Linked DNA regions of Xenopus tropicalis. The main gene of each other region encodes a partner of the protein of the gene in region 2 in a complex. Links are inferred from orthologs where the notes say so. Each region holds a gene or a part of one and is shown on either strand. Other genes may lie near its edges. The genes, in order: nme7, tubgcp5 and tubgcp2.

Region 1 (8,325 bases), about 60 Mb from region 2:
TAGCGGAATTTTTGGCCTTAAAATCTAAAGTGTGCAGCTTTCTGGAGCAGTGCTTTGGAAATTTGGTAGTGTACTGCTGGGAGTTTTTGACCTATACATGTGAGAAATCTCCATAAAACTATATATATTTGGTATTGGCACGTTCAGGAGACATGGGACTTTCCAAATCAGGTGTATTTTCATGCATAAAATAATTTTTGTTTCTGGTATGTGTGTTTATATTATGGAAAATATAATTTTTTTTCATTTTTTAGACATTTAGAAGCCTATATCTTGTTACAAAATTGGAATTACACAAAAATTCTACCATATTTTAAAAGCTTAGGTTGTCCTGAAAAAAACAATATATTGTTTTCCTGGGTAAACTAAAAGTTCCCCCAAGGAAAGGCCCCTAAAGTGAAACAGTGCAAAATGTTCAAAAACTGTCTGGCAGTAGAAGTTCCACTTTGTTCAAAACGGCTGGCAGTGAAAGGGTTAACATCAAATGAACCAAAATATCTCCAGCCTTACTTACAGCCACCTTGAGAGCCAAAAGTGTAGTTCCTTTCCCTAACCACCAAAAAGGGGAAATGCTGAATATCAAAGTTGTAGGAACAGAGATAGGCTCAACAGCAGGACATACCTTGCAGAAGTGCGTTTATTGTGCCATTTTCCAAAAAAAAAAAGGCACAATACATGCACTTTTTCAAAGGAAAGGAAAGTCCTGCGGATGTGCCTATGTCTGTTCCTACAACTTTGATATTCCTTTTACATATCCTGCTGTGAAATTTTCACTGTTTTGTGTCATCCTTTGATATGTAAACAATAGCATAGTGTTATACTCACCTTCAGAAATGGCATGGGGCTTAATAATACAGCAAGTACAGTCTGTAAACTTTGCAGTATTTTTTGGAGCACGTCCTCCACTTGATGGAAAGAAAAATTCCAATTCCTAGTAACATTTAACAAAAAAAAATTAACTTTTGTTAAGAATTTGAAGGCTAGCATTCCTGTTACAAGAAAAAAAACATTTGTAAAATAAAAACTTGGCAAAGGGACAGCAAGAGCTGCAGTACAGTTAAACTCACAGTATCAATCTACTAGTGATATTAGGAGTTCCAGAAGCAATAGCTACAAATGTAAAAGCGAGTCTATCCATGGCCAAATATCTGTATATATATATATCCTTGCTAGTATATGGAACTACAACACAGATAAGCCATGCAGAGAAATAAAAAGGCTGTGCAAATTCTAAAGCTAGGTACAAAACATCTAGTTTGTGCCAGGTTACCATACCAGTTTTTTTGTCTGAGATGGTGTGCCAGAACTCTCATTCAAGTTAGGCTACGTGAAAAGATGAAAACAAAACTCTATTGTTTATAAACCACAAGCATTCTATAACAATATTAAACCCTCCAACAGATCAGACTCAATCTGCATAATCTGTATTAAAACCCAGTTTTCCATGTTCCCAGAGTGAACCAGCACTAAAATTAGGTCAGTTCCAGTAAGTTCTTACTTGCTATATTCTGTCTGGGGTTGTGATTCATTTGATTTACAATGAGTTAGCAGATTTAATTGAAAATACCAAAAAGGGACTTCAAAACGATTGCCAAGGATTTATGCAGATATGTTTTAACAGGGCCAATCAGTGCTGAGGTCAGGCAGAAAGAAATAAGCTTTTAAAGAATGTGTGCAGTATTAGGGAGTTAAACACAGTTCTTTTAAATAACCAGCCAGCTGACTAAAAAGTAGAGGAACATCAATAGTCTATTGATTTTGACAGAGAAACCCGATGATCTTAGACAAATGTTTTCTTATCATACTATACTTACTGCATAGACACTAAAGGAGTTATTTATTCTACCCAGGAAAGAAGTGCTTGAGCACTAAGGGGCACAGGTCCCCCAGGTCTGGCTGCACTCCACTGTATTCAAATTATGCCTGGCTGATAAGAATAAGATCACAGTATGTTTCAGTATGATTATTTGCATTTTATTTTTGACCTGCTATTAAATAAATTAATTAGAAGGTAATGTATTCCTTCACTTACTCTTTTCAGAAACAGCTATATTACTTACTAAAATTCATATAATATAGAGTTGACTAAAGAAATCAGGACTGACAAAACATTTCCATTTTTACTAGAAAGTATAGATCTTCTATACTTACACGAGCAGCTGAAGCAATGGAATCTGAACCATGAGCTGCATTCTTGGTGCCATCAGTTCCAAACCTTGCTCTTATGCTCTGAGGAAGTTCACTCCTTGCAATGCTGGAATTTGTTGGTCCTAATAATTTTCTCCATGAAGAGACAGCTTCATCTCCAACTACCTCCATTGCTACAATGGGCCCACTTGTCATAAAACTAATAAGATCACTGAAAAACATATGAAATGGTTTACTTGGACATAAAATCAAAAGGTGTATTGAAAGTATAACATTTCACATTTTGCTTAACAGCACAGAACAATGCTTTTTCTAAAGATAATTTTATGGGATCTCTAATTTCTATAGAATATGAACAAATGTAGGACATTTTGGGGTGTTTCTATGTACCTGTAACTAGTGATGAGCTAATCTGTCCAGATGAAAAATTAGCGAAACTTACCCTTAAATTTCGCAAAACGCAACCTTTTTTCCGCAACTGCAACTTTTTTTTTTATACGACTGCAATATTTTGCTGCCATTTGGCAAAAAAAAAAATTGCCAATGGCAAAATGCGGAATTTCCCTGCAAATCCATTTGTGGTAAAAAACTTAGCTCATCACTACCTGTAACCATCAGGCCATGACCCCAAATGGTATTTTAATACTTGACTAAAGGGGTTTGGGAGTAGAAAGGGAATGAGACACTAAAGTCATCACATCATTACATAACTTTATATTTTTCTATAACTTTTATATATAACTTTAATATTTAAAATTTGCCAGAAATTGATATGTTTTCTTCCGTAAATGACAAGAAAAAGCATAAGGAGAAGGAGAATAGTTAGCCCAAAAAAGGATTTTAAAAATAACTAAATACCTGTTTATCATTTTTTATCTCTGTGTAAAGTTACCCTGGTTATCCCAGTCTTTCTGTACATTGCTTGTACAGGTATGGGATCCCTTATCCGGAAACCCCTTATCCAGAGAGCTCCGAATTATGGAAAGCCCATCTCCCATAGACTACATTTTAATCAAATAATTCAGAATTTTAAAACCGATTTCCTTTTTCTCTGTAGTAATAAAACAGTACCTTGTAATTGATCCCAACTAAGATATAAATAATCCTTATTGGAGGCAAAACAATCTTATTGGGTTTAATTAATGTTTTATTGATTTTTTAGTAGACTTAAGGTATGGAGCTCCAAATTACGGAAAGACCCCTTATCCGGAATACCCTCGGCCCCAAGCATTCTGGATAACGGGTTCTATACCTGTACTAGTTACACACTAGTTAGTTTGAGAGTGCAAATAACAGTCAGTATATGGAGGTGTGTTTGTGGTGCTAAAAAATATTGTCCAGGTCATGGGATCTTTTATCCAGTAACCCATTATCTAGAAAGCTCCAAATACAATTTCCCATAGTATCTACTTTTTAAATTATGAACCTACATGAAAAGTTACCTATAGATCATGTTGATCGTTTCTTGCTAATAGGGCTGTTTTTGTAAGTAATTGTTACTTGAAATTCCTAAACCTGACTGTTTTGCCAACCTGACTGTCCTTTCTCAACCTGTCAGTTATAGCTTCTAATGCTAACGGCCTCCTGCTGCACAAATATGGCAGCCCCCTTATAGGGGAACATGAGGGATCAGAGAGGTAATGTAAAAGCATCGGACAAATACTTTTATGGCAAAATTATAAATAGCATGCAAAGACAATGTTATGATAGATGTAAAAAAGGTTTCATTTCTGGTATCAGGATCTCTTTAAATATTATACCATACAATAATAAACCACTTTTCAATAATTTCTGGTGTAAATAATTTTACACAGTATAGTAAATAGGCCCCTTTGTCTTTAAGGACTTGGAGTGCAACAACAAAATTGTGATTAAGCCAGCAGATAAGAGATTTACCCAATTAGTATCTGACACACCCAAATAGCTTTAACAGATTAATATAACAACTAAAATGTCACAGCACTAAGTTAAACCATTCCAGCTTCCTAACAAGAATCTAGCCCAGACAGCTTTTAAGGTTAAAAAAAAAAAAAAAAAAAAAAAAAAAAAAAAAAAAAAAAAAAGTGTGCACATGTGTGTATATGTGTATTTTTAGTTCTTTATCCTAGATAAAAAAAATCCAAGCTGGCCATATTTGATTATGTTTATCATGTTAAACAAACTATGTTACTCTAGATTATTTGATATACAGATATTTACTTTGCTGAAAGAACATTAAAACTAATATTTGCTTTTAGCATACTATACCCTATATAGTTAACATATGCAGCTATCCTCGCTGCGAAATTGTAGATTATTTCCTTTATAATTTTTTTTCCAAGTAATTGTTAAGGCAATCACAGATTGGGTTTTTTCAGTGATTATGAGAATAGACTGACAAGAAGCAGGCAGACATTTATATAGTCTTTAATAAAAAGGTAGTTTGGGGTGTTTGGTTGCCCATGCAGAAGAGATTTTGTACATTCCAGAAACCACCTTCTCTGTTTTTAGGCCAATGCCACATGGGGCGGATTCTTGGCCTGTGGATAAACGCAGGCTGAGAATCCTCCCTTGCACTCAATAAAGCTTATGGTTGTGTCTGCACTGTGTACTGTACCCAGGCACAATGGCTCCAGGTGCAGGCCCATCAATAAGCTTCTTTAAATGCAGGGGTGGGATCTGCCCTGTGAGGCACTGGCTTTAACATTGAAGACATAATATTTACATATGTTTAACCCAAGGCAACTTGAATTTTGGCTTCTTCTGTCTTTGTGTTTATTTAAAAAAAAAAACCAAAAACATTAAAAAATCTTTGCTTACGAAAAGCATCACATCACCATTGAGTAGGATCTCTTACAGCAACTTCCTCCCACTGTCAAAGTCACTGTGGGAAGAAACCTTATTATGTAGACTGACTTTTCCTTCTCTCCAAATGTGTTGTTTCTTTGTGTTTCTTTCCCCATAAGCACCCTGGCAGATAAGAAGTTTTGTCGCCTGCAGTAAATCTTTGCAACTGCGGACAACAAATCTCCCAAAAATGCCTTCTCATTGCCTAACATTTGGACCTGGCAATGTACACAATGTTGTAGGCAAAATTGAGTAATGGCTAAAAGGTAACTAGAGGTTAAGATGGAAACAATAACAACAAAGGATTTCCGAGAATAAAAGAAATTAGTACTTGTGTATGAGGATTTAAAATACTGGAATAGGGGTTGAATTCAGGAGTGTTGACATTATATATCAGCAGAAAATGAATGAAAAGTGATATATCTGTGCTGATATACTGTAGGTATATAGAATTTCTTGTGTAATGGAATGCTGAGGCCAATGTTATCTGTTTTGTATTTGTGGTACTAGTGGTGGGTGTGGTGTTATATGAAGCCAGTAAAGGATTAGAAGGTGGGTGGAAATTAGGATTACAGAGGTTGTTTAGTGAGTAGAACTTCTTTGGTAGCAGTACAGGCATGAATCTCAATTGGAGCAAGTGAGGGCCTGTCCATGACCTTCTCAACTGTTTTTGGCTGATCTGGAGGCATCTTTAAAGGCATGTAAAGCCTACATTTGCCTACAAGGTATATCAGTTGGGCATGTCACCCCCACCATAATGGCATTATTTGTACTGCATATATCCCCCTCCATCACCATCACATTTTCCTAAAGCAAATAGCAGCTTTCACACGGTGGCCATTTTTCCTCTGATGCATAATCAGATACATTTATATCTGCAAACAGCATACACACACATACCCTTATTCAGCATTCAGCTGAGCTCAGGAGAGGAGGTTAGGAGAAAAAAAGAGAAGCAGACAGCTAGAGCTGAGTTTATATGGAAACCAGCAATGCCATCTCTTCACTGGCTGCTAGTCTGAAGGATGTGTTTAGTAATCTGAGTTTAGAACAACTGAGCATGCCCACAAGCCAATAGCCAAAGCAAATTCCTGATGGGAGGGGGCCCAAGTGGGTTTCAGGAGGAGAAGGAAATCTAAGTGATTAAGGGTATGTTGCAGCCTTCCTATTAACCTCTGGACAACCAGAGTGGCAGGTATTGAAAGATTTCAGAGGCTGTTCACTGATTACATTTTTGTGTGTGGGTTTTACATGCCCTTTAAAGGCAGCAAGTTGAAATAGTGTGCCAAAGTTGGATTAGCTGTGGGCCAGAGTAAGTGTAAGGGTACAGTTGAAGGGGAAAGCATGTGATAAACTGCAAATTTGAGAATGCTCAGGTTGTATGATAATTGCCTTATAAATAGGCACTAGGACACATGGTTAAGTGAGCAAAGGCAAGTGGACTAACACCAGGGGGTGTAAACAAAATAAAAAAAATCCAAACAAAACAGGGACATGAACATCCAGTTAGGATACCTTAATCTTCCCTAATAATAAAAGAGAATCTCTAAAACTATGTCAAAGCATATATATTTTTCCATAAGCAGGTTGTTCACAGGTGTGCATATTTACAAAAGGAACTTGAGCTACAGCCTGAGTTATTCCAAGGTTCCCATAGCAGGCTGCGTCAATAGGTGCAACAAATGTAGAGACACTTGCAAAAGACACAGTAATGCCATTTGAATAATGCAATCCCCACAATGAAATTTTGCACTTGCTTCAATTTTGTTGTATCAGATACTACTGTGGTTAAAGGAACAGTAACACTAAAAAATAAAAGAGCTTTAAAGTAATAAAAATATAATGTACTGTTGCCCTGCACTGGTAAAACTGGTGTGTTTGCTACAGTAACACTACTATAATTTATATAATAAGCTGCTGTGTAGCCACGGGGGCAGCCATTCAAGCTGGAAAAAAGGAGAAAGGCACAGGTTACATAGCAGATAACAGATAAGCTCTGTAGAATACAATAGTGTTTTATCTGTTATCTGCTATGTGCCTGTGCCTTTTCTCCTTTGAATGGCTGCCCCCATGGCTATATAGCACCTTATTTATATAAAATTATAGTAGACTTTCTGAAGTAAACACACAACTTTTACCAGTGCAGGGCAGCAGCACATTATATTTTAGTTACTTTTATACACTTTCATTTTTTGGTGTTACTGTTCCTTTAAGACAAGCCACAATGACATTGAAGTTGTGGGTAAAAAAATGGCAAATTGCAGCTAAAAATTGCACACTGCACTCACAGTCGTAAATGGGACTTTATATGTCAAATATGGTGACAAAATTGTCCACAGTGTACCGCAACTGAATTTTAATCCCACTTTACCTTCTGTAGATCAACTTTAAAACCATACCTAAAAAATGATTTTGAATGATGTTCATTATAAAAGTCCATTGCTTCAGTTCTGTAAAAAAGAATAAAGAGATGTTACAGCTGCATTTCTTTTCCTCTTTACCCCTGGCAAATTTTGTCTTATATTTTACATTAGGGGATACACTATACAGATGAATGAGTAAGATTTGGCACCCATGGCCAAATAACACATCTAAGCTAGTTTAAGTGAAATCAGCAAAGTAAAGAAAAGAAACTGTGTGTATGTAAGTACGTACGTACGTACGTACGTACGTACGTACGTACGTACGTACGTTATCCACGCCGTTATCTTTGAATCTTGGACAATTAAAGGGAGTGCGGACAGTGTGAGGTATTTTTATTTATATATATGTATAAACACACACACACAATTTATTCACTTTGTCCAGCCTTACCCTCTGTATTGTGTACTTTAACTTATGACAGTTTCTTTCAGCCCATTTCCAGTTCTAGGCAGCTAATATAATGGGGGTGGATTTGCAGAATTGATATGAACCACACTGAGAAATAACCGCAAGCTAATATAATTTACTAGAGCTTAATGACACCATTAAAGTAAAGCACATCAAAGAGAGGTATAAATGCTGATTAAGGTGGAAAAACAAACACTGGTATTTAACATTGTGGCTGATCTGATTTAAGAAAGTGGATAAAAAAATACTAATTTAACTTTATGAGACAAACAATAGGGCAATAGCTGTCATTCACTACCAGCTGAGGCTAATTTAATATGTACTGGTTTCTAACTAAAACTTTCCATGCCGCCTCTTGTCATGGGACACATCTACAGTGGTGCTGTCAAAGGGAGGCAGTGTTCTCAGATTCAGGTATTTCTCCATTGGTGGACATAGGCTGGCAGATACAACTGTCCTACCTACCTTTCTGATTTGAAAACATGGACATTTTAGAAAAAGACTTCCATAATTTACCCA
Region 2 (9,010 bases):
TAAACCTGTGTTTTTGCCTGAAGAAGTGGCGTCCCTGTCTCTTTGCTTCTGATCCTCTGCATACCTGCCTACCATAGCTAATTTCCCCCAACAGCATGTCACAATACATATGGAGCAGCATTAAAGGGGCAGTTTATAATAATTACAATTATTATTAGGCTATTGACAATTATATTTTGAGAAAATTTGAAAGAGGCCTTCATTTTTTAATCTGTGTCGTTTTCATTTATTTGCCTCACTATGACAACCAGATTAATCCTAAGGTTAGATAAATTGTAAGTGTAAGTTTTTATATTTTTTACAACTTAAACATTTCAAAACTTAAAATAATGGAGAAAAGACCAAGTTGAACTCATGACCATATACTTGTATTTATTTTCAGTTATCTAGCATCAAATGTAGCACTCGGAAAAAAACAAAAGTATTTGATCTAGCATGACTAGATTTACTTAGTTGTGAGTCATAAAGGATGGGTTTTTTCATTCTTTCGAAGAATTTTAGACAGTGCCTTAAGGAGGAAATTTCTACATCTGGAAGTATAAATAGTTGCCTGCCGAGACGCATCTTTCTAATAAAGTTCAGAATGAAAATTATTTAACATTTTTATTATTTGCATTGTTTGAATATTTTTGAGATGAAAAGATATAGAATCAAAATATGAAACAATGGGGCATTAAAATAAGAAAGAAAGTGGAAATAGGTATGTAACCCCTATTTGGCTATATAAGGCCAAGATCCAGCTATGGGTAGAGCATGGGGTACATGGGACTCCCCTTTCCCAGGATGGGCCTTCACAAAGTGGAAGTAACTTTAATTGAGGGTGTTGTGTAACTCCTACGGCCAAATGTAAGCACAGAGTTTAAATAAAGAAGTAAATGGACACCAGAAGCTCTTGCAAACGGATTTATTTGGCAGAAATAACAGATGTGATTTGCAGGGTTCAGATAATATACTCTCAGCCAATGAGGTGATAAAGCAAGGCAGACTCAATAGATAATAAGGGTAGAACAGTACTGCACCACTGTGGAGAGCATAGGGAAAACAGACTTTCATCCTTAGGATGCCCACCTTATTGGACCAGATCCCAAACAGCCGACGGTGGTTCAGGGAAAAAAGGACTAGCCTGATTCCTGTGTCTTAACTGCGGTCCCTACAATAAGGCTGCAGAGCCTGTAAAGGAGACTAATCCTCTAGATGGAGCCAGAAACTGCTCTTACTAAACAAATCTGACTCACATTCCTAAACGTGCTATAACAGGAGATATCCAATCCTTGCTATGCCATGTTCATGGGGTTCCTGCTACCTGACTTCTCTAAGGGTGATGGTTCCCTTCCTTAGGCTAATGCCACACATAGCGTGTATGTATCATATTTTCAGAAAGCCTAAAACCGCTTGCAGAGAATACGCTACATATGCTTAAAAATCCTCCTACCTGTGCCTGCAACCGAATGCATTGAATATGCTCAGGGGCAGGCACATGTAGCTGATATTCGCCAAAAAAAGCAAGACTTCACATTTTCGGTGGATATCAACTACATGTGCCTATACCCGAGCGTATTCAATGCATTTGGGTACAGACACAGGTAGGAGGATTTTTAAGCATATGTAGCGTGTTCTTGGCTTGCTGAAAATATGATGCATACGCTACGTGTGGCATTAGCCTTAGGGCCTAACACTTCTGGGCTGGTGTGGATCCCAGGCTTCCTGGAGCATCCACACAGATCAAAGTTGCAGGCCAAGAAGGAAGAACCACCCCTTTCCAAACACTATATCAAAGTGTGGTAAGCTGTGGTCTAACTTATGGGCCAATAATAGAGGTATATGTAAATACCAAATAGATACACAAATCCTTGCCCAGTAACAAGGAGATAAGTAAGTGTAGGGTTTAAAGCCATAGGGGCACATTACCCCTATAGGTGCCTACAGGTAAAAGTTGCATATATAAAATCAAGTCCAACTCTCTGTAGTTCCTGCATAGATGAGGGTCAGCATCTCTAATAGGATTGTTTCTGGCCACACTGGGCCCTTTATAAAGTCTAATTCTGGGCAGTGTAATATGTTAAATAATAAGGGAGAGAGAAAGGAGAAGTACGAAAAGGGAGGCTGAGAAAGGAAGGTGGGAGGGGTAGGAATACTGTATATATAGTACAGTACACACATAAAAGGGTGCACCATATATATATGATAACAGAACAACCTGTGTGTATACCACAATTTAAATATGCTGGAACAACCTAGCAATTATAGGCAGCATTCCGTCTTAATACATTAAAATGCCTTTATTGTTACAATGTGATGCTGCTGCCCGCATTGTGACAATAAAGGCATTTTAATGAATTAAGACGGAGTACTGCCTATAATTGCTTGGATGCGACCATCGGTCACACCAAACATCGTCAGATCCGCCACACACCATTCAGGGCTGAATCGGCAGGTAAGGAGGTAGAAACAATAGGATTTCTACCTCCTTCTGCCGATTCAGCGCTGAAGGGAGATTTTGGTCAGGCGCCTTCTATGGCTTCCTGCGATATTGGTCGACTCGGCGACATACCATACACGCACCGAATATCGTACGAAACCGATATTATCGGTGCGTGTATGGCCACCTTAAGGGCTGTGTCAGACAGGGAGATTAGTCGCCATGCAACAATTCTCCCTTGTCGAGGGCCACTAATCTCCCCGTTATGCCATCCCACCGGTTAGAATGTAAATCGCTGGTGGGATAGCATACGCTGCGCCGCTATTTGCCAAAATCGCCTTGAGAAGAAACTTCAGTGATTTCGGTGCCGCGTATGCCATCCCTCCAACAACTTACATTCTAGCTGGTGGGATGGCATATTGGAGAGATCAGTCTCCCACAGCAAGGGAGATTTGTTGCACAGCAACTGATCTCCCTGTCTGTCACAGCCCTAAAGCAACAGGACTTTGTGTTTTCTTGAAAACTTTCCACCTCCCATTTGAGCGGCGTCTTCAGTTCATATACAGAGATACTATATATCATGAATGAACATCATCAGAGACATTTGCTTTGTGTGTTTTAATTAGCTTTGCTAGTGACCGTTTCCAGATTGCAGCAGAAAATGTTGTGGTCAGAGAAGAATTATCTCACCAACCAAAAGTGGTGGTGCTCACTCGTTGCTAGATTAACCTCTAGCAAGCAACCTGAAAACAAAAAAAAAATGGACAAAACAAAAACAATAAAACATAAGAACTCTCTTAGAATTCTTCTGTCTACATCATACTAAAAGTTATCTGTAAGGTGAGAAGCCCGACTCCCGCATTACTAGGCACAGATAAAACACGCACCCTAACACAACTCTCGCCCTAATTATAAATGGCGACTGAACACTTCCGCTTCCTTTTACCTTTGCCTGATACAAGAGACTGCCCCACGTATTTCTCGAACTTAGCTTTGATTGGTCATGCGGAACTGTTGTACAGCCGAGGGGCGGGATGAAATGACGGTTGAGTTGACAGAGTGGTTCTATAACCAGCGGGGCTTATGGCACATTGGACCCGTTTCGAGAGGGATCAAGAGCGCGATATAAAAACGCTTGTGTCCGTGGTGAGCGGCATTCAGGATGAGCAGGACAATAACTTCCAGCAGGCCTTGCAGTTCGCCTGGTCCAACTTCAGGTGCGATTCGAATGAGCATTGTTCTGCTTAGCGTTGTGCAGCTTTGCTCTCCTATGGCAACTCTCTGATAAGGAACCTGGCTGACCTGTGTTCTCAATAGGCTACTGTGTATGTGTGATCATCACCACATCAGTATGTAGTATGTTAAATAAACAGAGTACTGCACTAGATTATAAATGGCCGGATACACACACTCTGCTTGATGGGGGTGCTATGTAAAACACCAGATCTCAATAGCATTTAGGGGCTTGAAGTTTGCCAACTGATCATATAAAATGCAATGCCAGTTTGGAAGCTGATAACTGAGTAGATGTAAATATTAATTTATAAATAATGCAGAAATTTGTAGGTGGTACATTGGTATATTGTTGCTTGGCTGATAATGACAATGGCAACACTTAGTGCTCACTGGTCCCCCATGTAAAAAAAAATAGTTGCAACCCATTTTTACTTACATATCTGTGAGTTAATAAATCCAATGAAATAGAATGCAGGCAAGAAAAAGTTTGCAAGGGAGATTGGGGTCTCTACTGGGCTCCTCCACGGTTGTGGGGCCTATTGATAGTTACGCCACTGGTGTGAGAAAAATGTTTTTTTTCTGCTCAGTCTAAACCTGATCAGTTTTTTTTAAAATAATCTTGATTCATCACAATTTATTTATATAGCACCACTAAGTTATACATCCCCTCTGCGGCAAATTAGAGAGGCTTCAGAGGGGTTTTTTGCCTTCCTCTGGATCAACTAGTAGTTAGGCAGGTTATATATATAGGCATTATGGTTGAACTTGATGGACGTATGTCTTTTTTCAACCCAACTTACTATGTTACTAATTTGTAATACATTAACAAAAGAGTTACAGAGTAAAACAGCAGCATAAAAGGGGCCCTTCTCACAACCCATTGGTTTAATTGTGTAGCCCTCGTAATTTATGGTAAGTCTCCTGTATAATATAATATTATAGCAAAGCCCTACATATCATTTTGGTGTTCTGATGAAGATCAGTTTACATCTGTCCATGTAGATCATTCATAATCTATATTTCATCCCAACCTTCTGCACTTTAATAGTAAAATGTTTCTTTCCAGATTTCACCGGTACCTTGATGTTAGCAGCCACAAAGTCCTCAGAACATTGGAAGGGTACTTTTATTATGTTTGTACTATTTGCTAAAAAAACAAAAAACAATACTTTTTTTGTTTCAAAACAATGTCCAACTATTTTCTCATTTACCTTTAGAATATTTGAAAAGCTGGTAATTCATTCAGACCTAGAGAAAGCTGAAAGCTGGAAAAGACTGACAGAAGAGTTCCTTTCTTTGCCTCTTCCAAGCACTGAAGGAACCAAGGTGCATTATTTTGTTTGTCTGACTCTGGGGACATGGTGGGATTTTTCTAGTGGTTTGAAAGACTACAATTAAAGTGATCTGTGTGCACTATCTAGCTCTGTATTTCCTTCTGTAAGGTATAGGGCTACACACTGTGCCACCTCAGGATGTAGATTATAGGTGTTCTTGTGCACCCTGGTGCATTTGGTTGTGTCTCCAGCCCTACCTCCATCCTTAAAATAAGGAGCTTTAGAAATTGCTGCATGGAAGCCCCTTGGGGAAACATACACTTCCCAAGCAGTTTATAACTTCAAACCAAAGTTCCAAAAGTACTGTTAATTTGTAGATATTGACTTGCCGTGGAAAAAATAGAATTGCATGGATAGTTAAAGGTATTGTATATCCATTGTTGAATGTCTATTCTAACTTTTTAAGTGCCTACTTGATTCACACTTTTGTTCCAGATTATCCTTATTACTTTCTTGTGGTGTTTAAATCATGTGGGGAAGTTGTATAGGGACCCTTTGGTGTGAGGGCTTACCTGCACAAACATTAGCAGAGATCATGTAGGTACTTAAATAATAATGCAAGCCTCCAGTTATACGTTAATTATAGGACCTCTTCTTGCAGATCACCTTCGCCCATTTCCAACATTTAAGCCTATACTTTATACATTTCACGTTACCAAAGTCTCGCTCTAGCCAGATGTATCAAGTGAAACAATCCCATGCTACATAGGAGTGTATTTCATGCAGGCCTTAAGTCTCATTTTGCATAAGAAGGAACTATAAAAATTTCACTACTCATGAGCAGCATGACAGTCCTAAAACAAAGATTGCTTTTGCATAGAAAGATTTCCTGTGTGAACATTGCAGACCTTTTTGACTTTTGCATTCCTTTTATGGGGTCTGTAACACCCCAGGTAATATATGGATTTGAAGGAAAAAGATCTAATTGGTAATGTTTGACTGAGAATCTGAATCTCTTTTTTTTCCCCCACAGACAGATTCACATTTTGCTGTACTGTCTCTCTTGCTTTGTCTGTCTGACTCTCCTTCCAACCATGATTACATTGAAAAACCAAGGAAGAAGGAAACTGGTAATCGATGTTAACAAACTAAAATAATGCTAGGATAAAACTTAGTAATTAAATATGTATTACAACTATGTAAAATGCTTCCTTGCTATACTGCCCCAACCTTTTGGTGCCATCTTTGCTTAGAAAACAAAGGAAACAAACTGTGTTGTCAAATGCACAAAGACCATATAAATTATTTCATTACAACAAAACCTTCTTTGCAATGGTAATTTTAATGCTGCAAGTAGACATTATATCAAGGAAGCATTGTGTTTAATTGGTAATTTGTAAACCTGTGTGTTGTTTATGTTCATTTTTATGCCAACGGCATTCTAATGCTTTATTTTAGATGAAGAGGAACCATTTGACTGGGGTAAATACCTAAGGGAAGGGGAAGATCTAGAAGTCAGCCCTGATGTAGCAACTCCTGTAAGTATTGCATATTTGTTTGTATTATTAGATAAAGAATTAAGATGTATGCATTAAATAATGAGGCCATGGCACCACAACTGTTTGTCCTTTAAATGGTGTCTTTACAGCACTTCTATATATTTATGAAAGGAATGTAAATGACCCAAAACGTTGTATGCTTATTTTTACTCCTGCAAAATAATATAGGTGGCGATATTGTAATACTTCTATTAATAGTTATGTAAGGGAAGTCTTATAACTTGTCTGTAGCTGTGTTACCATTCACATACACAAATTTGTATGTGCTCCAAGTTCTAGAGGGGGGCATGCTGACCAGGCTAACAGCAGCCATCTACAACAAAAGAGTGTCCTTTGCTTGAGAAATATGGGTGCTGCCCAAAAGAAAACAAAACTTTTATTGTTAGTGATTTTTTCTGGCTTTTTAGAAAAAAGGGGTACATTTCTCTTTGTCATTTCCTTTAAGCATCCCACTGTGCCATTTTTTTTTGTTTGCTTGACAACCTTATTTTAAAGCATTCATGTCATTTTCAGGAGTGGTCTGAAGCTAGTGAAGAAGAGGATGATCAAGAGCCTCTTAGCAGGGAAGACTCAGGAATTCAGGTTGATAGAACCCCACTGGAGGATCCTGAAAAGAAAGGTGCTTCTCCTTTGGTATCATGGAAAGGTCTGTGCATCTTTTCCACCCACCCCTTCCCGGCATTTCATGACATAAATTGCCTGTTTAAAATCTTTGTGTTTTTGCTCTAAATAGGGTAGCTTTTTGATGCCTGCGGTTCTTGATATCTTGCAGATCTACAGCTGCTCACATTTTAGTTAAAGGTAAAGGCTTTCTTTTAATGCAGCTAATAATTCTCATAAATGTTTTATGCAGTTGGCGAGCCAGATGCACGAAGTTGGCTAGAGCAGCATATTGTGCATCAGTACTGGACAGCCAGAGTTTCCCGATTTTCTCATAGCTCCCATCTTCATTCGAATCTGTCAGCCATCTGGTAAGTAACCCTCTAGTTAAGCTGGTGTGACCACAGCAGGAATTTCATTAGTCCAAGTCACTAATATATACAAGTTATTTAAAAGTGTTTTTAATGTTAGTGTCCCTTTAAGGCAGTGGTTCATGAGCAACATGTTGCTCAACAAGCCCTTGGATGTTGCTCCCAGTGGCCTCAAATCGGGTGCTTATTTTTGAATTTCTGGCTTGGAGGCAAGTTTTGGTTGCATAAAACCCAGTGTAAAGCCAAACAGAGCCTTCTATAGGCTGCCAGTCCACATGGGGGCTACCAAATTGTCAATTATAGCTCTTATTTGGCCCCTCAGGAACTTTTTCCATGCTTGTGTTGCTCCCCAACACTTTTTCCATTTGAATGTGGCTCATGGGTATAAAAAGTTGGGGTTCCCTACTCTAAGATCTAAACATATTAGAGGTTTAAGATTTGTTTACGCTTTAAATTTTTTTTGTCCTGCTCAAATTGTGCTGTTAAAACACCTCAAATTGTCTTCCCTAAACGTTGCTAGGAATGAAGTGAAAAATATAGCATGGATGACTTCCATGCACCATATAAAGGCTTGGTTTTGCACTGCCTGTGTTTGAATGCACAATTAACCTCAGGCTTATGCCCTTGGATACAATGTTACATGATTGTTTGCTTTTTAAACTTCAGTACGATTCTTGTCTAAAAAATTTTCTCTGCCAGTAGTTTTAAACAATTCCAGTGACATCAATGGGACAATGTTACGGAAATGAAAAGATAAAGTGATACTATCTGAGTTGCAATGCTTTCTGCTAATATGACTTTTTGTATGTTTATTAATTTCATAATACTCTTAGTTCTACTGAATTTCTAATGACTGCAAACAACTTTATGTTTTAGGGATCAGCATTTGTATACCACAGATCCACTGTATACACCTGATGATAAAACTATTGTTACTGAAACCCAGGTTATTCGTGAGACTCTTTGGTAAGTAGAAAGCTGCACAGTCCATTTATGTTATGAGGTGAACTGTCAGTAATTAGTTTATATATTGTTATTCTTAGTATCATATTTAGTTATGCAAAGTAAATTTCAAATTTTCTGTATACAGCATGTATATATGATTTGAAGGCATTCAGTACAGAAATTATCTAGGAAGGTCAAAGGTAGCTCATAGCATTTCTGGAAGAAAATCGGTATGTTAAGTTTGTATATGTCTCATATTGTAGGGCTACGTTGCCAACATATATCTGTGTTCTTGGACATCCAATGGGGACCACTTAGCTGGTGTAAAGTACTCAGCAGGAGGGCAAGAACACTGTAAAAATAGATACTTCATCCCCGCTGCTTCTCATTGCTTACAAAGGTGATGTAGTAGTAGGATGAAAAAGATTTTCTCTCTAAACAAATTTAGAATAGTAATTTGGCCCTTTTAGGCCCATGTATGCCCCCCCCCCCCGACTGTCTCCCCAATTAAATATCTGGCCAAATATTGGGCAGATATCTATCAGCCAGGTTCAAAAATCTCTTTGAGTGAGGACCACATAGACCATTGTTGTGGTCCTCTCCCAT
Region 3 (8,325 bases), on a different chromosome or scaffold from region 2:
ACTCTAATGCGCATGCGCCAGCCCAGGAATTGCGCCGCAGATTAAATGCTGAAGGAGGAAGCGCACCCTGCAGGTACCCCGGGCTGGTGCAGTTTTCTCCAAACAGGGGCACCAGCCTGTAGTACAAGGTAAGCGATTAAATCACTTGGGGGTGCCTAACATTTTGGCACCCCCAAGTGACTTAGCCTTTCCTTCTCCTTTAAAAGGCTAAACATATATTAAATAAAATCTAATTTAAAAAAAAAAAAGCCAATTTTGCATATTTATTCAAGATTCCACAAAGGCTACAAAATACTGCACTAACATTTGTCCAAGCTGTAACTTACAGATTGCAACTTCAATGTCTGCTCCAAACATTTTTCATATTGTGGGAAATTTATCACAATGCAAATTTATGGTAAATCCCTGCACCTAGGAAATTTGACTATGAAGATTCTCATTCATGAAGGTTATGATATACAGTATCTAGTAGAATTAAGTCTAAAACAATTGGACTTTTTACGAATTTTTTCCTAAAAATGTTTCACCACTCATCCAAGTGGCTTCTTCAGTTTAAATGACTGGTAGGGAATTCCCTGGGATTTAAACCCTTGAGGGTAGTAACATGCATATTTTGGACTGAGAGGACAGATCGTTTGAAAGAGGTGTGTAAGAGGCTATTTATGCCAGCATGGAACCATTATGATTGGATGCCTGTGACTGTACTACCCTCAAGGGTTTAAATGCCGGGAAATTACCTACCAGTCATTTGAACTGAAGAAGCCACTCGGATGAGTGGTGAAACGTTTTCAAGAAAAAGCTCAGAAAATTCCAGCTGTTTTAGACTTAATTCTAATAGATAAAGAAAATTTGAATAAAAATGTGAAAACATTTTTTCACAACTGAGAAAATGTGAAAATAAATGATTTTCCCAACCTGCCTTTTAGGAAAAAATGCTAGCCAAAAATTATAAATTGGAGAACATTTCCCAAAACCTTGAATTGTATTCACTGGTGATAAAATGTAACAAGAAAGGATGTCTGCAAGCAGATCAAATCCTGAAAACAAACTAATTATTAGTAATTAATAGTGCACCCTGTTTTTAACAGCAAAGCAAATTCTGAGCTAATTTTGACCAGTAAAATACTTCAGGCTTTAGGTAACCTGCTTTTTGGAAGGGAAAGTGGGGATCAGGTGTCAGGACCTGTATATAATGCATTTGAGGGTAAAGTTCCCAGAAGTCGCTGGAAAACTAATTATAGATGCAATATAGATTCACAAATGAGAATTCTACTGATCAAAAAACTTCATTGTAAATGCAACAGAATCCCCAAATGAGAATGCCGATTCCCAGCACTATGTTGGGCTGTTATCTTGCCCGACATATACACATATACAGATAATTATCTCATTTTTTTCCTCATTATAGGACACCGGAATCAGACATGGGGAGAAAGGACAGACTTGTTCAGTACTGGGAAACTGTGCTTAATGCTTTCAATTCTAATTACAGGAGGATTTTTCACAGCAGTTGCTGGCTGTATAGATTAAGGGAAAAGTTTTGGAAATGTTTTATTGTGCAGTATTACTTTAACAATACAACCCTGGTGTTCCTGGACTACAGCTCCCACCATGCCTCAACATTCATTACATGTTACATTATTCTAGGATTTGTAGTCCAAAAACAACTGAGTAAAGTTTGGTTGAGCAGTCAGTGCAGCAGGGTTTACATTCCCTTTAACTTAAAGTCCTAGGCCTGGAATTATAGAGAGGCCACAAAGGCCCAGACAAAAGGCAGCATCTGCACTTGCTTGTTCATTCAAACTGGGAACATGGGACTGTTTTAATCTCTCACATGTTGAGATTCAAGTGCTCTAGAACAGAGCTGTCCAACTTGGGTGGTACCGAGGGCCGGAATTTTTCCGACCTACGTGATGGAGGGCCGATAATGGAAGCCAGTTTTGACCACTCCCCTTTTTGAAACCACACCCGTGTTATCACATAACCATACCCATATTAATGGTTGTAGTACAGCAAAAACCTGCCATACCCTGTCTGTGTGTGCCATACTTTGACTGTGTGTGCGATTCTTGGCTGGTTTGTGCCATACTTGGCCTGTGTGTGCCATACTCTGCTTGCCCTACCCTGCCTGTGTGTGCCATATTCTGCTTGCTCTACCCTGCCTGTGTGTACCATACTCTGCCTGCCCTATGCTGCCTGTGTATATGGCACACACAGGCAGCATACAGTGACACAATGCTGGCACTGCTCCTACAGTCTGCACAATAACTATATATTAAAAAACGTTTTAATTGCAGTACCACCTCAGTATATGTTCTTTTTGTAGTGTGCAGGGATTATTTATGGGTTTCTACTGCTCTATTTACAGTCTGACTGAGGTGTGAACAGGGGAACAATGTGGGTGATTACAGCCTGAGACTGAGGTGTGAACACTGCAGGGGGTAAACAATGCAGGGATTAAAAGGTGTGAACAACACAGGGGATTACATTTTTAAACAATACAGAGGGTTTACAGCCTGAATCTGAGGTGAGAACCATGCAGGGGGGGCAGTTACTCACAGTACTGATACCATTTAAATCTTACACAAGAGTAAGCCATCAAAGCAGCCAGACAGGTGGGGGGCCACACAGAGGGGGGTCGCGGGCCGCCAGTTGGACAGCACTGCTCTAGAACAAGCTGACATGCTGGGCTTGGGGTGGAGGCATGATGCAGGCTTAGGGTTGCACCTTTGGAAACCTTGTCTTTCCAGTGCCCTTCACCTTTGCATAAGGTGACCACCCAAAGACTTACCCAGTAAGAAATGCAAAAAAATTGTCTTACTTTGGCACTATGAGTAGAAACACTGGTAGTGACATAGGGAGTACGATTTTTCTGCAGAAGATCAATGTAAACTTCCGCCCCTTCTAATCCAAAGACATGCAGAAGGCTGATGAGCTCATTTACATCATGGTGAATCCGAAATTCACTCATAGTGAATGATCTAGGAAAGACAGATTGAACATGCACATATATAAAAACTTCATAAAAATAGTCAAACAGCACAAAAAGTTTTAAACCAGTCTACTTATTATTCTTACTGTACAGCAGAAGCCAATTTAGTAATGATTAAGGGTCCATACTTAAATTATTATTTATTTTCTTTAAAATACTATAGTTTAGTCACATAAAGACAATTAAAAGGATATTATCACAGTATTTATAGTCATCTACTTTTATATGAATCGTACACAAGCAAATATTTACTTAAGTTCAAATATCAAAATTAACAACATTTTGCCAAAAAAATATGCTACAACATCAGCAATTTATTTATCTCATTATCTACATCATACCCTGCATGCTAATATTACATTTCATTGTGCTGTTAATTCATCAGTGTATTTTCCAAAATACAGTTGTATGAGGAAAATATAAAAATTATGTATGACAGGCAAGTTTTGGCAGATTGCAGTCGCAAAGGCGTTATCTGTTATTTTAAGCAAATGTCACAGTGAAACTATACTTTGCATTAACCCGTTCCCTGCCAAGCATGTAGGTACTACGTTATTTTAAAAAATAGTTATTTGCCAAGCACATAGTACCTATGTTCTTGGCAGAAAAGGGTTTCCCTCTGCGGCGGCTTTTCACACTCGTGTCTGCTGTAAGAGGTTCCTGCTGCAGCAGCCCACCCAGCAGCCTCACTTCCTAATGCAGAGACTGTGTGGTCCTAGGGTCCTCTGTGCAGTGATGTAATTTCCTTATAGAATTAAAATTAAAACCAATATAAATATACCAGTAATAAAGTAATGCGAAAATACAAACATCCATTAAGTACATCAAATATTAGATTAGTCAAATTCAAATCAATGAATGGTTCATTTAGGATAAGTTTACATTAACAGGTGATCAAATAGAAGAAAAGAGAAGAAAAGAGATGGGGAGAAACAGGTTATTTATGACAGCTCAAATCCCATCTAACATTAAGTCCTTGTAGTTCCTATGTGTTAAGTAAAAAAAATCCACTTAGCTTCAAGATTTAGTAATTTCTTTACAATATCACCTCCTCTGTTATTTATGATAGCACTATCAATACCTTGAACTCGTAACATAAATACCTATCCTCCATTACAGAGTTTAAAGTGTCTTGCCACTGCTGTTAATTCACTTTTAGAGGCAATCTGGTTTATATGTTCTCTTATGGGATTTTTTGAAGGCCTGGTTGTGCATCCTACATATTGAATGTTAAAGTTCATACAAGTTAGTAGATACACTGAAGCTGCGGTGTTACAATGTAGCTGTTTATCTTATAGTTTTTTCCTGTGCTTGTACTTGTGAAACATTTTGATACAAATACTTTAGAGCAAGTGATACAACGTGAGGACCCACATCGATACATCCCTTTCACTTGTAGCCAATTGCCTCTTACTCTATCACGTTTAGATTCACTTGGTGATGTGGGTGCTCTTTTGCTAACAAATTTGCATCTCTCTCCTAGGACATGTCGTAGTTTAGGATCATTATATAGAATAGGGAGATGTTTCTTAATATATTTGACTGAATTGATTACTGTATGGAGTAAACATAAATGCAATTTTATTCTTTTTTTTTTATTTTTAAGCAAATCCTCTCTGTTCCTATTTAATGCTTTATTGAAAGCGCTGTCTAGATCATTCTTGGAGTAACCTCTCGCCATTAATTTACCTTTTAATCCACGTGCTCTATCTATAAAATCAGATTCTGAACTACAGTTACGTTTCAATCTACAGAACTGTCCAGTAGGGATGCCTCTAAATGCATTCTTTGGATGACAAGAAGCTGCCTGTAATACCTCTGTATACCTGCAATACCTGCATTCCCTGTGCATTCTTTCTTAAAAACAGTGGTAACCATTTTTAAATCTAAATGTGACTGTGTTATATCCAAAAAGGCGATACTAGTCTCATTCCAGTGACCTGTGAAATTTAAATTTAGATCATTGTGATTTAAAGGACAATGAAAGGTTAATATAAATTAAAAGTAAGTCTAAAGGCATTCTTTTTAAGTACTTACTGCATATCTAAATTCCCAGATCCCTGCTTGCTTCTCTGAGATATGGTGCTGGCAGCCTACAGCAGTGTGAAGACTACAGTGACATCACTGAAATCTCTCTTCCCTTCCTGTAGGCTGCCAGCGGCGGCCTTCCTATTCTCTGAGCATGTGTGTAACTTGATCCTATCTCCTGTTCTGAGCTACACATGCCCACCAGCCAATCAGAAGCGGATCTGGCAGAGGGGAGGGGGGAGGGAATGAAACACATGTGCAGTATGAAGCAAGGAGAAAAAGGAAGGGAGAATACCTTTTTAGAGATGGCTGCCTGTTCTAGAAAATGTGAAGTAAGTGTGACTGAGTAAATATCTGGTTAGGTGAGCCAAAAGTGTGGCGTTTGTACTAAACAATGGGAGGACTATTGGGCAGTATGCTTTTTAAATTTTGACTTGCATTCTCCTTTAAACTTTCTAAAAAGCAGGTTATTACCTGCTTTTTAGAAAGTTTAAATCACAATGATCTAAATTTAAAATTTATAAATATTTGTATGGAAAGGTGAAGGGTCTACTATTGTAGACCCTTCACCTTTCCATACAAATATAAAGTTGTCTATATAACGTTTGTAGACAACAATAGCCTTTGTGTTGGTGTCACTACCTTCATAGGTGGTTCTCCTCCCACCAACCCATGTAGAGGTTGGCTTATGTGGGTGCGAATTATGCACCGACTGAGATCCCACATCTCTGAAGGTAATAGACACCATCAAATTGAAAAAAGTTGTGATGTAATAGATAGTCTATTGCTTCCAAAATAAAATATTTAATAGCAATTGAGTAGTCACTATATTTATCTAAATGATATGTTATAGATATAATCAGATCTCCACTTAAAATCCTCTAATAGCTGTATCACATGTTGTATCTTTCAAATATGATTTAAGTCTTAATACAAGGGGTTGTAAGTACAGATCAATTAGCTCTGATAGTTTCTCATTAAGAGAATTCATACCAGAGACAATTGGACATCCTTTAGGTGGAATTAAACCCTTAATGTACTTTAGGGAGGTGATAGAACAACTGCACCATGGGATATTCCAGAACAAGTGCTAATTTGATTGCCAGAAATTTTTTTACCTTCTGGCAAGCACAGATATATACCAGCAGAAAAATACTGGAACAACACTCTTGACAACATTCTCAGGAACCCTAGCAGCGAGAGAGGAGACATCTCTCTTAACTATAAGTTCTTACTGGAAAACATAGACTATGACAAACTAACAAAACAACCAAGACAATGGACAGCGAACCTAGACAGAATGGAAATAAAGCTAATGCTGACAGCATATAAACAAATATGGTATACTTTACCATCCAGCATATACAGGGAAATTGCTGTTAAATCGATTTCATAGGATTTACCTAACCCCATTAACCTTGTTTAAAGCCCAAATGAGACAGGATGAACATTGCCCCAAATTTCAAGGAGCCCCAGCTGACTTAATGCATTGTCTGTGGAACTGCCCACTTATGAAACGTTTCTTGCTGCAGGTTAAAAACTATGCAACCAGGTACCTGGTTAACTATGTACCCCTGCCACCACAGTGAGCAATATGAGGAGTGAACCCAAATACTGCTACAAGAATGACCAGCGGGGCCAAAACACTTTTACTTATTCTGTCCGCTGTCGGCAAAAAAACTATATATCAATATTATTAATATTTATTTTATGAATATTTAATTCCTCGGGCAATGAAAATAACTGGTTTCAAACCTAGTGGTAAATAACACAGACCATGAGAGGAGACCCGACCATACAGAAAGAGTTAAACCTTAGCCTTCTAGCAAATAAATTGTTATTAGAGACCATGGGCTGGGGAGAAAAGTATAGTGCTGGGTTTGGGAACAGATAGAAAATATTGCGCTGTTATTACATATATATTTGGTTTCGTCCCTGAAGAAAAGTACTGTTTGTACTCGAAATTGAGTCCCTGAGCGTGCGGTACTCTTTTTCTATATACAAACGATCCGGAACAGCACCTCTTATCTTTTAAATTAAAATGCCTTTATTGCAAATTTCAGGGGCAAACAACAGCAACGTTTCAGGCCATGCGTGGCCTTTTATCAAGCTACAAATTAAATACAAGGTGTTGTGCTGACTACTACTTCCAAAACTCTTTTTCTATATGTCTATTTTTTGACCCTGCACCCAGGGATGTTATTTTGGTGACAGTGTGCTCCACACTGTTCTGTTCTCTCTCCCTATTATATATACCGTATATACTCGAGTATAAGCAGAGTTTTCCAGCACTCAAAATGTGCTAAAAAAGGAAGCCTCGGCTTATACTCGAGTGTACTTGTGTCGAAGGACAAGGATATGCCGGTTCGACACAAGTAATCAGATGGTGCGCGGCGCGACAAAGGGATGTGATGGTAGGACAAGGATGAAGAAGTGAAGAGAAACTATGGTTCCTTTGTTAGGTATCTGTCCATTGGCAAGGGGGCCGATTAGTTGTATACCATATGGGGATGGCCTATGTTTAGCTGTCTTAACAGCTAAAAAATGCAATTTGTAAAAGAAATGTATTGATATATCTATCCGCCTATTTATACACACTGTGTATGACTAGTGTAGAAATGGGCAACCTTTGGCATTTCAGCTGGTGAGGAAATACAGTCCCTTAAATAGACATGGTTTGAGTTCCACGATAGCTGAAATAACTATGTCTGTATAACTGGGCTGGGGTGTTGTGAAAAAAATAAATGGTAAACAATTGGTAATATCCCAACAGGATTAGGGGAGCTAAGAGCTGAATTTATCAATAATAAAAGAGAGTGGCTAAGGCTGGAGATATGTAACAAAAGTACCAAAAATTAATGACATTTCCTAAATGAGGTAAAATTATGCATTTGACACATTTGTGGTAACCCTTTTCTTGCTCTAAAAAAGTCAAAAGATGATGTGGAAAATAGCAGCTAGTAGAAGTTGCCCAATTGCCTAATCAGGGAAAATGGGCCTTTTGTGCTCTATTGCAGAAAACATTGCAGATTGCATCCTGCCCTGCACATAGTAAGGGAATGCTCTTATGTTTTATTTATTTACTGTTATTTATATCACATCAGTCCCTGCCCTAGAGAAGCTTGCAATCTAAGGTCCATATCTGGTTGCTAGGGCCTTGTTTACCTTAGCAACCAGAGAGTGGTTTGCAGAAGAGACTGGATGAGATAAGAGTCAGAAATATTTACTGTTTTACTGAGGTGTTTTTTCTTGCAAAATCCTTGTTTACAAGGCACGTTAGTAATACCATGGCCAAAGCTTTTTTT

Evidence for each region.
Region 1: tubgcp5 (region 2) and nme7 share a complex: the UniProt entries of both Homo sapiens proteins name them as parts of the gamma-tubulin ring complex. The link is inferred for Xenopus tropicalis from reciprocal best matches to the Homo sapiens genes TUBGCP5 and NME7.
Region 3: tubgcp5 (region 2) and tubgcp2 share a complex: the UniProt entries of both Homo sapiens proteins name them as parts of the gamma-tubulin ring complex. The link is inferred for Xenopus tropicalis from reciprocal best matches to the Homo sapiens genes TUBGCP5 and TUBGCP2.

The regions. Positions count from the first base shown.
Region 1 is NC_030678.2:55,287,266-55,295,590, forward strand, and holds part of nme7 (nucleoside diphosphate kinase 7), read right to left. Parts: intron 7,425-8,325; coding exon 7,374-7,424; intron 2,360-7,373; coding exon 2,152-2,359; intron 932-2,151; coding exon 826-931; intron 1-825. UniProt on the Homo sapiens protein: Possesses an intrinsic kinase activity. Displays 3'-5' exonuclease activity with a preference for single-stranded DNA. Does not seem to have nucleoside diphosphate kinase activity.
Region 2 is NC_030678.2:114,836,526-114,845,535, reverse strand, and holds the start of tubgcp5 (gamma-tubulin complex component 5), read left to right. Parts: upstream 1-3,397; 5' UTR 3,398-3,502; coding exon 3,503-3,636; intron 3,637-4,721; coding exon 4,722-4,775; intron 4,776-4,872; coding exon 4,873-4,981; intron 4,982-5,962; coding exon 5,963-6,059; intron 6,060-6,387; coding exon 6,388-6,467; intron 6,468-7,001; coding exon 7,002-7,134; intron 7,135-7,341; coding exon 7,342-7,459; intron 7,460-8,335; coding exon 8,336-8,425; intron 8,426-9,010. UniProt on the Homo sapiens protein: Component of the gamma-tubulin ring complex (gTuRC) which mediates microtubule nucleation.
Region 3 is NC_030683.2:56,279,380-56,287,704, forward strand, and holds part of tubgcp2 (gamma-tubulin complex component 2), read right to left. Parts: intron 3,738-8,325; exon of another isoform or gene 3,583-3,737; intron 2,982-3,582; 5' UTR 2,972-2,981; coding exon 2,822-2,971; intron 1-2,821. UniProt on the Homo sapiens protein: Component of the gamma-tubulin ring complex (gTuRC) which mediates microtubule nucleation.